Schizosaccharomyces pombe: one gene and its partners. The main gene of each other region encodes a partner of the protein of the gene in region 3 in a complex. Each region holds a gene or a part of one and is shown on either strand. Other genes may lie near its edges.

Region 1 (6,128 bases), on a different chromosome or scaffold from region 3:
TTCTTCCCCTTTGTTGATAAAACTGCTAATATCATTCACTTCAATCATTCTATTCAATGCTCCAGCAGTTTGTTATCTAAAGTATAAGGACGCTTTTTTTAAAAATTATGGTGCAGTGGAATGGACATTATTTGGATTTTGGTGTTTTGTTTGCACTTTGGCTTTAATATTCTTGACTTGTAAGTGAGACAATGGGGTTATTCTTACCTTCAGTCACTAACTCATCAGACTTCTATGAAACTTGGACCAAGGCAGTTAAAGTAACTGTAATTTCCTTGGCACAATGTGTAAAAGTGACTGCAGTTTTCTTGGCAAAATGTGTAAAGGTAACTGCGGTCGGCTTGTACAACTCAAGGGAAAAATGGGTAGTAATAATTTGGCTATTATGGGTAGTCATTTGCTATACACTTTTTCTTCGCGCCAAATTCGGTAATTTGAACTTAGACAAGGCTCTCATCTGTTCTACATGCAGTATTTCAGCTGCTTTACTTTTATTTTTACTATATGGTATGTGAAGTTATGGAGTTACCATTACTGACCGCTAACACGCAGTTCGTCTTCCATTTTGGACACTCAAGCATATGTTTTCTGGTTTGTTTCAAGTACTGGGTGTACAAAGTTGTGTCGTTATTGTACAGAAAGGTTTGATGCATTTATTTGATAAACATATCGACGGGACAGGCTACGAAATTGAAGCCTCTTCACTCTTTGTTATAGGAAATTTTCTTTTCTTTTACGAAATGGGTTTGTTTAATATTCCTGTAATTTACTCTAACCGTATCAGAATGTCCAGGTGCTCTCAAAAGGATGCCCAAATTTATCAGGAATGGTATAGCTTCTTTCCTAGGTATGTGTATTCAACCAACTGTATGAATGATTTTTTACTTACCCGACTAGGAGGTATAGCAAATGCGATTGGAGGTGCCAACGATAATAATGACATTCCCTTGGAAGAAACGGAGGCCGAAAGCGAAGTCTAATTGCTTTATTAATGTAGTTGTCGCTACAGTTGGAAAACCTCTTTACCAAAATCACCAATGCAGAGAAGCTGCGGCGTTTTTTAAAAAATTAGCACCAACTTTCTTTAATCATCCTCTTTCACTATAAGTTTATGGAATATATGCTTAACTTATTCTTTCAATTACCAAAGATTTTCAACCAATGCATTCTACGATGTTGGATAATGTGCATTGAGGACCGAAGTCTTTATTTATAATGTATGCGAGTCTAATTATTTGTCTTTTTTAATGGTACTCTACGCTACAAACAATAATGGTTTAACTTGTTTACGACAACTTTAAATCAACTAATGAAATCGGAAAACTCGTTGTTCCACCTTGTTAAATTCACAATTTCATTGTCGTTGTTACATTCATTTCTCCTTCATCTTGATTCTTAATTTAATCAAGCTTAATAATCATTTTTCCCTTCTGTTTAATGGTTCAATTCAAACAAAATTTAATGTTTACAAAATAATGAGCAGCATAATAGAATATTGTGGTTTAGAACGATGGTTTGTTATCGTAATTACGTGTAAGCTACGCAGTTTGGTATCTGATTTAAGGATACGTAGAACTGCGGTGAGTTTTCCTTGTGATCTATTATATTACAATACACAGGTTGTATAAGTAGCAACTGAGTATAGGTATTGTATTAACTGGGTTATAATGTTACCTATCACTAGTATAGCTCATAACTGAACCTCGTTCCTCAGTTCAGTGGTAGCTCTATTTATAGTATTCAGATAATATAGATCTGAATAGATTATCATTAAGATTAATCTCCATATCGTATCATACATGGTACGATATATAATTAGAACATGTGACATATAGTGATACGCAACGTAGTGTATCACTATATGTCATATGTTGAAATACTAGTTAAGATCCGCTTGTTGATAATCACAGGTAACTATTCGTCTATGTACATAAATACCCGTTGATAACAGCCATTTATAAATAGCGTTACAACTGAACCTCGTTCCTCAGTTCAGTTATGAGCTATACTAGTGATAGGTAACATTATAACCCAGTTAATACAATACCTATACTCAGTTGCTACTTATACAACCTGTGTGTTGCAATATAATAGATCACAAGGAAAACTCACCGCAATTTTACATTTCGTTAAAGTGGATACCAGATGGATAGTTAACTCGAATTTCTTCAAATACGACAATTTTTCACTAAAGTAGTTTAGTGACTGAGTAAATAGATCGTAAACTCGTGTCTGCCCTCTACCACTTCACTTTTACCCATTTTATTGTATTGAATGGCAATTAACTTAATTCGCTTCGAATTGCATATTTTCAATACGGCAAGTTTCAACTAAGAAGGAGAATTTGAAATAGATCTGTAAAGACGCGTATCTATAACTTGCTTATTCATTACGCGTTATTACGTTTAGTATAAGAAAAATACAGTCTGTCTTTTAGGTTTTGGCTGTTTTCTTTTTTCGTTAAAAAACAAATTGTTCTGAAAAAAAGGAAATTTATATTGATAGGTTGATGTATACGACTTTCGAGAATGTATCAGAATGGTAAACCAGATGCCCCCACAATCTTAGGCCAGAAAAGAGAACTTGAAGATGTAGAAATACAAGATGATGATATTCAGGTATGTTAACGTGTTGAGCCTTTAGGCATTCGAATGTTAAGACATGTCGCTAACTCTGTTAAAGGAAGTCTCTAAAGAAGACTTATTAAAGGATGTAAGAGTGAGGAGCATTCAATTTGATGAGTTAGAAAGTAAAATAGAGGGACTTCAAAATTTAGCAGAAGAGAAATTAAAAGTTTTAGCTACTTTGGTCTCTTGGTGGCCTGAAATACTTCAGCAGTTTAGCGTTGTGTTTCAAGGCAATGAGCTGAAGGACTTCGAGAGTGAAGGTGTTTTTTCGATTTTGGAGAAATTCCCGGAGCTTTCATACTTCAATGACGCTGTGAAAAATAATAAAACTAAAGCCTTGAGCATCATTCAAAAACTCTTGTCTACTGTTGACTCAAGCACAAATTCGGTCTCCAGAGATCCTTTTTCAGTTTTATCAATTGATGACTCTGCCCTTACTGAGAAATTAAACACCATTAATTTGGATATTGACAAGATTTTAGATGAATTGGATACCACTCGGTCTCAGCTTCATTCAATTATAAAACTACCAGATCGCTCGTCTAGTTTTACTTTGCAATGCATTAATGAATCAGTGAGACCCCAGTCTACTAAAGTGAAAGAGGAAGCAACCACCTCCTCTAAGGGGAAAGATGAAGAAAAGAAAGTTAGCACGGTTGAACAACGTACTCAACTGCAACAATTATCCAGGCTTCAAGACCAACAAAATGGTTTAATGGAGTCTCGCTCACAAAGCCTTAAAATTTTGGATTCGAACGTTAATGAAATGGATAAATTAATTATGGAACGAGAAAACGCATTAAACAACGTCGAAACTACAAACTTGAAAAAATACTCTTCCTTTTTAGCACTTAAAGAAGCTGTTTCTATGACATCTGAGCAGTTACGCGTATTAGAGCACTTATTGTCCGAATGTTCTCACGAAATAAATGTATTGTCGCAACAGTCAAAGAATTTTAACGGTGTTTTTGAATCTTCCTATCAGCCGTTAATAAACGATCTTGATCATCAAATATCTGTTATGCAAAACGATGAAAAAAGAATTAATAACGCAAAGACTGAATTAAGCTTATCCCTTGAAAAGAAGTTGGAAGCTAAAAAGCAAAAAGAGAAGGTCTACAAAGACAAGTTAGATGAACTTGCGAATTTAGAGACAATGGTATTGGAAAAGAAAAAAGCGGTGGCTACCCGTGAAGCTGCAAACAAAATCCGGCTCGTAGACCTTAACGATTTGGAGTTACAAAAAGATCTGTCAACTTACCTTTCTAAAGAGTTGGCTTCTACTGAAAAAGCATTTAGGTTGGTAAAACAGCAAACTGTGAAAAGTAGCCACTCCCATTATCAAGAATTGATAACCAAATTTAGTGTCGAAAAGGAAAAGGCGGAGCAAAAATATTTTCTGACCATGAAGTCTACAGATAGTCTTCATGCTGAAGTAAAGTTACTGCGCCAGAAGTACCAGAAGACCAACGAAATTATCTCAAAAATGTTAAATAGCCAAGACACTGCTGTCCATAGAATAATAGAGTTTGAAGATCAGCTAGCCCGTCTATCATCGGTTCGAAATAACTCTATAAAACAATCAACAACGTTTCAAGTCAAAAAGTCATCTCAAAAATCAACTATTCAAAACCTGGAAGAAAAGGTGTCTTATTTACAGCAATTTATGGATAAAAATAATGCTACATTAACAGACCTTGAATTTCAATGCTCAGATTTATCATCTTCTATAGATATACTTTCCAAGCAAGATGAAGAGCATGAAAAAGAGAAGCGAAAGTTAAAGGATACTGGGGTATCAACGTCAGCTGAAGAGTTAAAAACTTTTAGGGCCATGTGTAAGTGTTCAGTTTGTAACTTCGAGCGCTGGAAAGATCGAATTATTTCTCTCTGTGGTCATGGCTTTTGTTACCAATGCATACAAAAACGGATTGAAACACGGCAACGCAGATGCCCGATTTGCGGTCGTGGATTTGGTGCTTCTGATGTTATTCCGATACATCTTTGAAGAATATGTTTTATTTGTGTAAATTATGTCTTTCAGGAAAACGCTGTATATATAACAAATCATTTTCCTTAATATAATCTTTGAAACTAGGTCACGTAGTTTTTAAACTATCCAATGCATCTATGTTTTTAGTTAATAAATTTATTATTATAAAATCATTACTCGTCATTATAATTAAAATTCTATATTATACGGTTAAGGATTTTTTCTCGCACCACCCACAGTGTTGTCGAACTGAGTTAAAACCGAGCCAATCTTTTTCTGATACTGCCGATAAAGATCGTCCCTTCCGTTTCTTTTTGCATCTTTCATTAATCGCTGGTAATAAATTCGGACCATCTGTTTAACGTCAGGCAAAAGTTCCTTTTTGGGGGCAGCAATGAAGTGCTCGATAATTTTCTTGGCACCATTTTGGTATATTCCAAAGACTCTAGAAGATTTAGGAAATTCAACGTCGCCATGAATTTCCTTAACCGTCTTAAGAATCTGAATCATTGCTGACATATTTTTCAGCATCTGAAGACAGCTGCCTCTATTCATTGATTCTATTTTGTAAAAGATAGAGTATAGCGATGAATCAACCAGTTCACTCAGACCTTGGAATACAAACCTATAAAAAGTTAGCAAATCAATATAAGGAATTCATTTGTTATTTACCTTCGTTCCCATTCATTCAAACAGGTTTCGAGTTTCAAATTCGTCGTCACAATAGTAGAGTTGAGAGCCATTATCGAAGCATCTGGTCTTCCGCGGTACTCGACAACATAGTCAGGAAGGTTTACACTTTGATTAATACTATGAATGTACTGTAACCGAACTTCCATTCGGATTAGCAGTAAAGCATCGAATTGGAGCCTCTGTAAAGAATCAAAGACTTCTTTATATGCACTTTTATAAAAATCAGTATAAAGTTCAATACATACAGTAACATACCCCTTCATTAAATCCGAATTATTACCCAACAAATTATCAATTGGTAAAAAGTCACCACCGAAATTAGCTTGGTTTTGTTGCAAAACGTTCATTCTTCGCGAACCGTTCATAAATCTTGAAAAACAGCGCTGAAGAAACCATTCCATGGAGTTATGAAGATAAGAAACCGAGTTCACTAGGTCGGAATCTTTGGATAAAACCGATACCGGAAGTTTAACTTCGGACGTAATCGCACGATCTTCATATTGTAATAAACGCTTATTCTCCATTCGACAAAGCTCATTTAACCCTTCAAGTGATGGATTTTTTTGCTTGAGGAATTTAATAAATTGAGGGTACGTTACATCGTCGTGAAGTAGCTTTACTCGAACAGTATCATCGACATCTTCAGTATCCTCGTTGACATGTTTGTATTCTTTGAGAACAGCCGTTCTGCACAAATCTATAAAGGGTAAGCTGGGGAAACAGTGAAAAAATGGAAATGAAACATACCAGAGAGATAATCAGAACAATGGTTGCGAAAACGAACAAGCAAAGTATGTAATAATTCATAAAATTCT
Region 2 (4,752 bases), on a different chromosome or scaffold from region 3:
TAGTTTTATCTGTCGACGATTACGAGTTGGAAACATATTAGCAATTAAAGCAAAATCAGTTCCCCACTGTGATAGAGCCTGCCATGTCAGTAAATACGAGCGCAATTCCTCCATACCTTATAAAATTTTTCAGTATCCATAGCGTTCCATTTCTCAGGTTTCTGCCTATTTCCCCAAGTAGCACTTGTAACCCGACGACTTAAAGAATTTTCTTCAACGTATTCGCGTTCCTCTGCTGGTACAAAATCACGTTCATGACGGTCGACTTCTAGTGAGGTTTCATCCAGAACAATTTGGCCATTAACAACTCGCGTACGAGGAGTTGCAGAGTAATTGGAGTTGTTATTCAAACCATCAACTTCCATTTTATCTGCTAACTGATCAAGAATAGACTTTGTTGGGTGAGAGAGACTATCTTCGAGAGAAGCAGACTCATCCGTACCCTCTTCTTCCAAACTTCCTACTATTTCTTCTTTCTCTTTCGGTTCGCTTGATTCTAGAAGACTGGCACTCAAAGGCTGTTTGATGGTAGAATCTAAAGACGCTTCTCGACTAGAGCTTGCAGTACTTGCTCCTTGTTTTTTAATCCTCTTTGCTCGTTTTTCCTCAAAAAGCATTTTTTCTAATTCGATAAATCGTTGACTTTTGCGGCCAATTCCAGGATCATCACATAAAGCAGACATTTTGGTTTCACTTATGTTAATGATTTTCTCGTCGGTACCCACGTTTTCCAATATCAATTGACTTTTTCTTTTCAAAGAAGATTCTATGATGTTATTAAATAATGCATTTTAGATTAACCCTTTATTTACGTACCTCTATATGAACGGCGAGACTTTTTTGTAGCCGGAGAATCCGCCTTTCCGTCACTAACAGCACTGAGCTGAGAAAGGGGAATGTTCTCATCAAAAAACAAATCTAATTCCTTCATAAATTGCTGTTCGGCTGAAGAGGATAAATCGGTTTCAGGCGACAAATGCTCAATAGCATTTAACGGCTGCTCAAGAACCGTTGGCTTAGAAATTTTAAAAGTAGGATTTGAATGCAAAAGTTTTTCATTTTGTTTCACTGAATCATCTTTTCTATAGGATGAAGCTGTGGGATTTTCAGTTGCCTCTTTGTGAACTACTGTTTGCACAACCGGACTAGAAATATCAGCATTGGCAGTATCACGAGACAGCTGAGCGGATGTTTCTACTTCGTTTCCTGTGAGGGGTTGATTTTTTTCTTCATGAACAACCTCTTTTTGGTCCGATACTTTCTCTCTACGGGCTGTAAATTTAGGGGCAAACCTTGACATTGATTTTTCTGGTAAAACATTAGTGGAAAGCCCTACTACTTAAAAAAACGTACTTGTAGGTGAGGTTAATATTTGCGAGCTCATTGAGTCTGTTTAGACTGTAACTTCGACTCAATTGCATGAATTTCAAAAATTATGTGGCAGTGCGCATATGTTTGTACAAACATTTGCCTGTTGTCCATGAACCAGTAATATTTTAATAAAGAGGTTATATCCTGGGTATAACTGTACAACGAAACCAAGCAAGCCCGTCTGAATAGATTAATATATATGTGTAAAAAGTTTTATAGTCGCAATGATTGAGTAAGATATAAAATTAACTAAAGGTAGAAATAATCAGGGTCAGCCTCGAACAAACTTAGTTATTATAAAACGCTGGAAATGTAAGCTATAGTTTACAGATAAAGCAAGAAAATACTTTACACTAATATGAATAGTAGAATAAATTCAGCAATTTAGATAACCACCGAAGGAATTGAAGAAGCCATTGTCGTTAGCTAATGTTTATTTTGTCATTGCCAATATTAATTATATTATACAAATTACTACTTCGTAGGCGACTTTAAAGACAGGCATAACTAAGGTAAAGAAACATATTATTATAGCGAGGAATCTATTTGACTCACTAACGAGACATGACTACCATGTACAGATAACCTGAAAAAACTCATTAACCGTAGGAATTGGCTTAGTGAATGTTAATGAGCACATATTTTGATCCTAAGTACTTTATTTTAATTATAAAATAGAAAAGGAATTTTTTTGAAGTGGAATGAGCGTTGTGAATGAATCGAGGAAAAGAAGACGTCTTATTCACAGCGAAAAAGAAACGCGTCGTTTAGACCTCGGAGAAGAAGATGACTTAGAGTTATTTCAAAAGGAAGCAGCTTGGCGAAGATCTAGAGAGTATGAGCATCTCACTGTTTTGGAAAAGAAATTATACGAGTATTGGGAATCTCTAGTTTTGAAACTTGATCATTACGTTGCTGCTGCTCTGGAAAATCATGAACAATCATTTGAAGAACTAGAGAAAATCACTGCTTCTTTATATCAACCTGATGATAATTTACAGACACTAGATTTGTCACTTGCTGAGTTCAGTTTAATCAAAGATGCGCAAAACTATTTGAATAAGTATGCTTCCTATTTTCAAGCCCATGAACCTACTCTACAAAAGTTAGCTAAATTTGGTTCTTTTAAATTAAAAGAAACTCCAAACGTCCATGAATGGATAGACCAACGCCAGGTTCATTTTACAAGTATGATTAATTACCGTACTAGCCAACTTAAGTTGGCACTCCTAAAAAGGAAACTTTCCTTCTTTCGTGAAGCTTTGAATTCAGCTGAATTAGAATGGAAACGGGTGCAGCAAGATCAGCTTACTAGTGCTTCCGAAAGAAGTATTGAAAATATCGCTGATGATATCCCTGCTTCGGAACCAAAAGCAATTCTCGAAAATGGGGAAGGATGTTTAAATGATAATGATAATATTTCAAAACTAAAAAACAATTTTCAATCTCAAGCTGATTTGATGCAAGCAAATATAAATTCCAAATTGGATGAACTTTCTCAAAAATCAACTCGTGCAGCACAATTGTACGTCGACATTATGGGTATAACGGATGAAAGAGTGAGTAGAGAGCCCCATTATTTAGAGCTGAAGGGGGTTCTTTCTTCAAATGAAGAGAAAATCGAATCCATTAATCGGGACCTCTCTTCATTGTTTGAGGACATTCAGTTTTTTATTTCTCAACGGACGAAACGACAGAAGGATATTATTGATTTAAAATTGGCATGTGTAAAAGAGAAACAACAACTTATTAAAACCCTTGAATCATCTTTAACCCAAATTCGTAACGAACGAGACTCTCTAGTGGCGAAACAACAAATGCAATATACTAACAATCTATTTTTTGACGATATGATGCTTTTATTAAGCAACTTGTCAAACGCTCGGGTTGCAATTCTAGAAGGTTATTCAAATCGATTGTGCATATGGGATCGTATTGAAAGGTCTAAGACTGGTGAGATGAATAATGTCCTAGATGAAAAAGAAGAAATTTCTGCGTCTTCAGCTTTGGAAAAACTAATAAAAAATAATAGTTGTTTGGAGGCTGAACTCCCAAGTATGTATGCAGCATTTGATCAATCACAATCTCGTTTGTTGAAGAAATATGAAGAACTTGAAACGAAGGAGAAAAAAGCTTTGGAAATGCATTATGAAAAGGCTCGTGCCACCCAAAAATATTTTGCTGCCATGAAAGCTCGGGACATTCTTATGACAGAGAAGAAAACTCTTAAACTGGCCGAAAATAAAGAACATGATTATATAGGGAAGTTGCAAGAGCGAGAACATGCGCTAACAAAATATGAATCCTCTTTAAAAGCTGAATTGGAAGTTTATAAACAAATAAAGGAAATCTACGGGAAACACTCGGTCGAAGTTTTAACAGAAGATAAGCACTTACAAGTTAAGCAAACAAAACTTACTCAAAAACTTGAAGATCTTATAGAGTCTGTTCAAAAATCTGGGGAAAAGCTTATGATCATGCATCAGAAGTTGTTTCATTTGCAAGAAGAGCATACTATTTTATCCATAAAAGCTTCGTATAATAAGAAAGAGTCTCATCTTATAAACCAGGCATATGAAACACAAGAGGCTCAAGTATACAAAGGAATGTTAAAATGCTCCGTGTGCAACTTTTCTAATTGGAAATCTAAACTCATTCCAAACTGTGGTCATGCCTTTTGTTCTAATTGTATGGAACCTTTTTATGAGCATAAAACAAGTACATGTCCGCAGTGTGAAACACCTTTTTCGGTTTCCGACATTTTGACCATTCATCTTTAATTCTAGATCATCTTTTATATGATTAACGTAATGTTTTTGTTATTTTGGTACATAATATATTTTTTGGCATCAATAGTTATTGAAAGAATAGTCAATCCTATATACATATATATATATATATATATATATTTATTTATTTATTTACATATAAATATGTATGCTTTTTTTAATAAAAAACTAGTAATATCTATCAATTTGATTAACTTATTCCATTAAGCAACTTCGTTCATTCATATGCTAGTTTCGCAAGTCTAGCATCATGACTCACTCTCCATTATCCATGTGCCAAAAATAGAGGGTGTGTATCTGTAGCGACTGTAACTAGCGAAATAGGAAACAATTAATTACTATTAATTATTTTTTTAAATATTGGTAAATTAATTTATATTGGCAGCGGAATTATAATAATTCATCTCATTTTCTATTGATACGCGTGCAATCCCATTGAACAATGAGTCTGGCCGAGGATTGGATTGATCCTAATTCTTCTGAAGATTCAGATATTCAAGAAGATGCGGAATTGGAATACACAGCTGATAATCCCGAAAAGGAGCAAAGAGGTGTATTTTCCTTAGAGAAGGTGCAACTGCAGTTCCCTGTT
Region 3 (6,016 bases):
ATAATGCAGAAAATAGTGGTTCTTCAAAGAATGAGGAAGTTTCAGCAACAATGGAAAATTTAATATCTCAGCTACAGAAAGGTTTGTGTGATGATTCTTTAAGCAACAAAACCGATTGCACTGAATCATCGAAACAAACAATCGAAACTCTAATGAATTATGAAAATGATAAACAAACTCTAGAAGGCTCAAATAAAAAGAGACAAACAGTCGTCCTTAAAGCTGAATGCATGCTTAAGCAGCTGGAGAATAACAATGAACTTAAGAGATAATGATGTTTGAAATGTTAATGACTTTTAATGACAATTAAATGACTTAAACAAATTATAATGAAATTATAATTAATAAAAGGTATAATTATTAATTCTAGTAAGACTGTAATGCTTGTTAAAGATAGAATTAAGCATCTAAAGGATAACTTTTCTAGTAATCTATTTTGCTCGGGAAATCTTAAAGTAATCAGTAAATACATCAGTTCCAACTTTTAATGATTCTTGAACGTCGTCCCAGGTACTACGCTTTTCCTCTTCTCGAGTTCCCCTATTTTTTTTGTCTTCTTTGAGCCATTCCAAACATGTCTCTAGAAGGGCGCTATTTCCCGTAGAGGACCTTGTCATCAGAGCACCAAACTTGGATATTGGTCCATAATCCACGATACGCCCAAGACTGAGATGGACCAAGTGAGTTGGCCACTCAGCTAAACCATCAAATATATGTGTTGCATAAACAATAGTAGCATTCCTTACTTCCGTTTCCTCTTGCAAAAAATTTAACAAATCTGCCCGGGCAAGAACATCCAAATCTACAGTTACTTCATCAAGTAAAAGTACTTCAAATGGACGCAGAAGTCCCATACATAGTTGAACACGTCGTCTTTCACCATCGGACACTGCATGCATTCGCCAACGAAGATCTATATCAAGAATTGAAATCAAGAAATCCCTACGTTCGGCAAATTTATCTCCTCCAACAGAAGCAATTAATCGTGCAACACTCATATCCCTATGTATAACAGGGTTGTTAACCCATTCTACAAACGCACACATCAGTAAAATTTGATGTTAAAAGAACTTACCAGTTCCTAAATAAACAAATGCAGAACTAGACTCACGAAAAGGATCTTTACCACCCACCGATATATGTCCTGCTTTCGCAAGCGATTTTCCAGATAAAAGTTTAAGTAAAGTTGATTTTCCTGTTTAACAAAATTCCAAGAGGACATCAGTTAGCATTTAAATATTCTTCATCAATTTCCATAACACCGCGAAACTTACCAGCTCCATTGGCTCCAACAAGTAAAGTCCTTGATCCTTTAGGAAGATCTAAAGTTACGTGATCAAGACTTAAAGGCTGCTTTGGAGAAAACGTGTAAGAGAGGTTTGAAACAGTTACTTCCATTTTGAAATAGAATGTTTTAACAGTAGTAAAATATAATTATCTAAGAACTTAGTTTTACAATATATAAAGGATCCAAAAAAAGGCGCAAATTAAATAACACTCAAACTTTGTGGGTTAGCTGGATTGTGTTTAGTACATCTGTGTATCAAGTAAAGTGTGGAGGGAATGCAGTAAAGTTGTTATAAGCAAGACCTCGTACTAATAAATTAGCTTTCCAAGTCTTTGTAAAGAACCTTTTTTAACTATTAAGTAATGCTGCCCATATTTGGAGATGCTATTAAGACCTTGAACACACATCCTGCGGAGTCTTGGAAAGAAAAATGATTAACATCGATGGAACAATTGGCAAACAATATATATAGGAGATAGAAGCAGATAACATTTGTAATCAACTACAATTTATGCTACATATTATTTGGCTTAAAACTAAGTAATAATACTTTCCTAAGGTCACCCCATTTCGTTTAAGACAACAGACAAACCTAACATTCGCATGGAATTTTTTAACAGCAGGCGGACATTTCTCAAATAAAAAAATATAAATATAATATTATTTCATTCCTGCTAAACGATTTTAGCTTTTCAACGTAGTATTGCCCATATCATTAGACTTAATATATTAAACAACAAACAAACATCGATATGGGCGAAGGGCTTTATATAACGCGGTACGTAAAATAGTCTTACCTCAAACCGTTTTCTCACACCGTGATTTTAATTGAATTAAGTATTACTATTTTTCGGTTCTTTAACCAATTGTTTTAATTAGATAGTGTACATTTTTCGTGAAAAAAAAGAACCATTAATATCAGCACTTAATTATTCACTTTAATGAGCAGCAGAAGAAATGACTACCACTATGATGGAAACGACCACCAGTATCGTAGTCCTTTGAAATCAAACGTTGATCAAAACAGTTTTTATGAATCTAGTTATAGGAGCCGACAATCCTACCATCAAAGAACAAAAACACCCAGATCTAGTTATGATTCACCCTCTTCATCTACAAATTCCAAGGAACACAATTCTCCCTATCATTATAGAGTCCCTAGCAATAATTCAACAAGAGCGTCTTTTGGGGCAGCTTCTACGGATACGAATGTAGAATTGCCGAAGATTAATCTTCCAGACTCGAGTTTGTCAAGTAAACTTCAAAGCTGCAAGTCTGCGTGCGAGAATTCATCCCAGAGTTTATTGAATGTCGAACAACAATACGCTCAACAAGTACATTTTTGGGAAAAAATTAGAACGGATATATACCGAGAAGGTCTACGTAGTGATGCAGCTGTAAAAAGCTTAAACGATTTTGTAAATAATGTCAGCTTCTAAATAAATTATTGCAATCATCGTCTGCGTACAAATCATTGAGCTTCCGCTTTGTGGATATTATTATGACTTTTTATTGAAAGTTTTATCCCAAACCCATATTTATAAACATGAATGTTTTTGTATAGCGTTTTTTTTTTTAAAAAAAAAAAATAAAAATAAAAAAACGCTTCATACACTCTAAACATTCTCAGACTACTTCGGTTCTCTCCCTTTTAACGTATAATATGCATTTTAGATTTTCTGAAGTTTCATTACGGTGAAAGTGCTGTAATGGACACAGCGTTCTAAATGTCTTCTTTTTTAATTTTCAAAAACAAACTCGAAAATAACAAATTTTCGCCTTGCATATCCAATAAACGAATATGTCTATAGCCTTGTTGCAGTCTGTCAATCGGACAAGTAAAATTAGCAAATATAGAGTCATTTCCATTACTTCCTCGATGATGGACGAGAAATCGGATCATGGAATAAAAGTCATCACTAATTATACTCTCATAAACCATGGTTTCTCCCCAAAAAGGTCGAAATCCATTTTCGTGCACAACTTTGGAACACCAACGAAAAGGAGATTCTTCCATTGAATGAACTTGGATCTCAACATAAGGGCTGAGAGTTTCAGAATTAGAAAGTTCTCTAGCTCTTCTAAGTTGTTGCCCAGATATGACATCTATTGTTAATTTTATTTTACGAGGAAGTCCTTCTTCGCCAACTGTTGTACCAATTATTCGTTGACAAGGTGGCTTTAACAAGTACCCAGTCGGAGGATCAGCTATAAACAAAGCATCATTTATTTGAAGACCTGTATCATAAGTTTGCCAGTTTAGAGCAACCATTTGCACACCCAGGCGCCAATACACCTGAGGATTAAAATTTGTACTTCCTACTCTCAATGGGCCAGGGTATACACGACACAAATAGCGTAAATTATGTTTGCTAAGTCTTGGAACCATAGCTTTTCCATGCTTTTTTATAGTCCTTTCCGAAAATGAGAATATGTGGCTATACGTTTTTGATTCCGGTAAAGAAAAATTTCGAAATTTCAATGATCGGGCATAAGGTGCAAGCTGTTGCAATTCCTGCACAATGATATTTTTCATCCGTCTTTTACCTTTCCTTAACCCTGTTAATTCTGAATTTTCTAGCTCCGATGATTCGGTAGTATCAGTCGAAGAATCAGTTATCCCAACCTTCAGTATGTCTGTCGAAAATTGGTGCAATGGTGTTGCTGAACATTTGACTTTCAGCAAAATTTTGTTCAGTAAATCTTCGGGTGAAGGAAGAACTGATTCGTTAGCGGTAACGGGTTTCATCACCAAAGTATCCCCAAATGCTTGTTTCATGTAACTAACCATTTGACGTTGTTGGTCAGGGCAGCAATGAATTTCCAAAGAAATGAATAATGGATAAGGTGAAACGACGAAAGCATATTTTCGTATAGCATCAATAACATCATTAAATTTTATCATAGAAGTAAATGTATGTCCATGACAAACTACAGGACCATTCGGTCCATCCCAGCAATCGATTTCAATACACTTGCAGCCACGCTGTAGCGAACGGATATAACCTTCAATTGAACTTTCTCCACCAAACTGCTTACCTAGTAAATAAGTGTTATGCGACGAAGAAATTAAGTATTCATTCAGTGGTCGCGACATATCTTGTATCACAGGAACTACTGGAGAATTATGAGGAGAAAGTAGAAAGGAAGTAAATTCTATCAAACCCATTTTTGAATCATCATTTGAGCAAAAAGAGACATACAAAGTCCTAATTGAGTCACTATCCAAACGAGCCTTTTGAGAAGTTGATAGAAAGTGACGAAACTGTTCCAAAGACATCTTGTCAGAGCCAGATGTATATTCTTTAAAAATATCTACAATCTCGGATCTTGTTTTTAAAAGGCTTACAAAATGCTGAAATTCTTCAAAACTTAGCTTTCCAGAATGATCAGCATCTGCCTTTTGAAATGTTTCTTCTAAAAACTCCATTGATGCATTCAAATGTAGCATTTGGCACATGCGATGCACGTCTCCTAGATCCAACTGTGCACTTTGCTCCTTTTCTAACTTTTCCCAGGGATTTAAATTCTCTGAATAATCTATCATTTTTTCACCTTGATGGCAAACGAGATTAAGTCCAATAATAAATTCATTCAATCGATAAGTTTTTAGACCTTCTAAAGCCATAATCCATTGATTATGCGCATCTAAAGTTGGAGATATCATATGCATAGCCTTTAATTTATTATCAGCACAATATATAATTGTGAACCAGCGTTTCTCGTTCTCAGAAGAAATTTTGTACTGTTCTCTATAATTACGAGCATCGCGGCCCTGTCGAATTTCTTTAATGTCATCAACACAAAGCTTCTTATAAGCTTTACCAGTATTCTTGTCCAGCATAAGATATCCAGATATAGGGTCTAAAGAGACTTTACGTTGGCGCACCTTTTTCTTGGTTATACGAAGTAAAGAGCATCCGTTTTGAATAGATTCAGGGACTATAGTAGCTAATAGCTGTCGAGAATTAAAGTTTTGATTCACCGAGCTCAGAGTAGATAAGTTTTCGTTACTATCGCATGAGTAAGGGTTCATTGAAGTATTTGTTCTCGCAGAATTCATTCGACCTTGCAAGCGTAGCAAAAGATTTAACTTCAGAGAAAGCCAATTCAATCCTCCATGGAATTTATTTTCTGAAGCTGATGTCGATTTCGTACTCAGAAAAGAAGATAAAGAATTTGATCGTTTACGTAGAGTACTATGAGCATCGCGATCCCTTGATGATAGCATCTTAAAGAAATCCTGCTCCGATTTCTTCCTATTGCCAACATATGGGAGATCCAAAGCAGCATTATCTAAGGTTTTACTCCTCGTCTGAGCAACTGCGTTTTCTGAGCAATCGGGCAGGCAAAATGGACTTACTGCTCTGTTGGAGTCTCCTAAGTTGACCGATTCAGGCGACGTTACCATTTCACAATTCATTATGATATCTATTTAAGGATTTACACCGCCATTGGCTTTTTGATCATTATGTTGATATTTAAAAGTTCTTCGGTTTTTCGGTTTTCATTCAGCAACAATACGCCGTGTATGTGTCAATAAAGATAAGTGGATAGCACTCAAAATTGCATATGAGCATAGATTCAATCCACCACTTTAAATCAAGTAAGCCTGATATTATTATAGGGACAAAAATTAGTTGTTTTCGGAACTTTTACCTCTTATATCGTAGGAGCTTACATCCGAGACTTTTGTTAACGTTAGTGGCAAGCGCGCTTTGGTTTAAT

Evidence for each region.
Region 1: shf1 (region 3) and brl2 share a complex: the UniProt entries of both Schizosaccharomyces pombe proteins name them as parts of the histone H2B ubiquitin ligase complex.
Region 2: shf1 (region 3) and brl1 share a complex: the UniProt entries of both Schizosaccharomyces pombe proteins name them as parts of the histone H2B ubiquitin ligase complex.

Annotation. Positions count from the first base shown.
Region 1 is NC_003421.2:487,540-493,667, forward strand, and holds brl2 (histone H2B-K119 ubiquitin ligase complex (HULC) subunit, ubiquitin-protein ligase E3 Brl2), read left to right. Parts: upstream 1-2,241; 5' UTR 2,242-2,528; coding exon 2,529-2,618; exon of another isoform or gene 2,619-2,682; coding exon 2,683-4,635; 3' UTR 4,636-4,830; coding exon of another isoform or gene 4,831-5,245; 3' UTR 5,246-5,292; coding exon of another isoform or gene 5,293-5,523; 3' UTR 5,524-5,568; downstream 5,569-6,128. Other genes in the region: wtf antidote-like meiotic drive suppressor Wtf9, read left to right, coding at 1-179, 229-507, 553-744, 785-847, 898-980; sec8 (exocyst complex subunit Exo4), read right to left, coding at 4,831-5,245, 5,293-5,523, 5,569-6,010, 6,061-6,128. UniProt on the Schizosaccharomyces pombe protein: E3 ubiquitin-protein ligase which belongs to the histone H2B ubiquitin ligase complex (HULC) which mediates monoubiquitination of histone H2B to form H2BK123ub1.
Region 2 is NC_003421.2:2,237,903-2,242,654, forward strand, and holds brl1 (histone H2B-K119 ubiquitin ligase complex (HULC) subunit, ubiquitin-protein ligase E3 Brl1), read left to right. Parts: upstream 1-1,944; 5' UTR 1,945-2,072; coding exon 2,073-4,151; 3' UTR 4,152-4,252; downstream 4,253-4,752. Other genes in the region: transcription factor TFIIIB complex subunit Bdp1, read right to left, coding at 1-78, 117-766, 817-1,308, 1,354-1,384; pep3 (ubiquitin-protein ligase E3), read left to right, coding at 4,603-4,752. UniProt on the Schizosaccharomyces pombe protein: E3 ubiquitin-protein ligase which belongs to the histone H2B ubiquitin ligase complex (HULC) which mediates monoubiquitination of histone H2B to form H2BK123ub1.
Region 3 is NC_003424.3:4,807,481-4,813,496, reverse strand, and holds shf1 (histone H2B-K119 ubiquitin ligase complex (HULC) subunit Shf1), read left to right. Parts: upstream 1-2,088; 5' UTR 2,089-2,229; coding exon 2,230-2,727; 3' UTR 2,728-3,011; downstream 3,012-6,016. Other genes in the region: formin Fus1, read left to right, coding at 1-272; CCR4-Not complex subunit Caf16, read right to left, coding at 432-1,030, 1,076-1,195, 1,275-1,398; phosphoinositide phospholipase C Plc1, read right to left, coding at 3,012-5,711. UniProt on the Schizosaccharomyces pombe protein: Component of the histone H2B ubiquitin ligase complex (HULC) which plays a role in transcription regulation by catalyzing the monoubiquitination of histone H2B to form H2BK123ub1.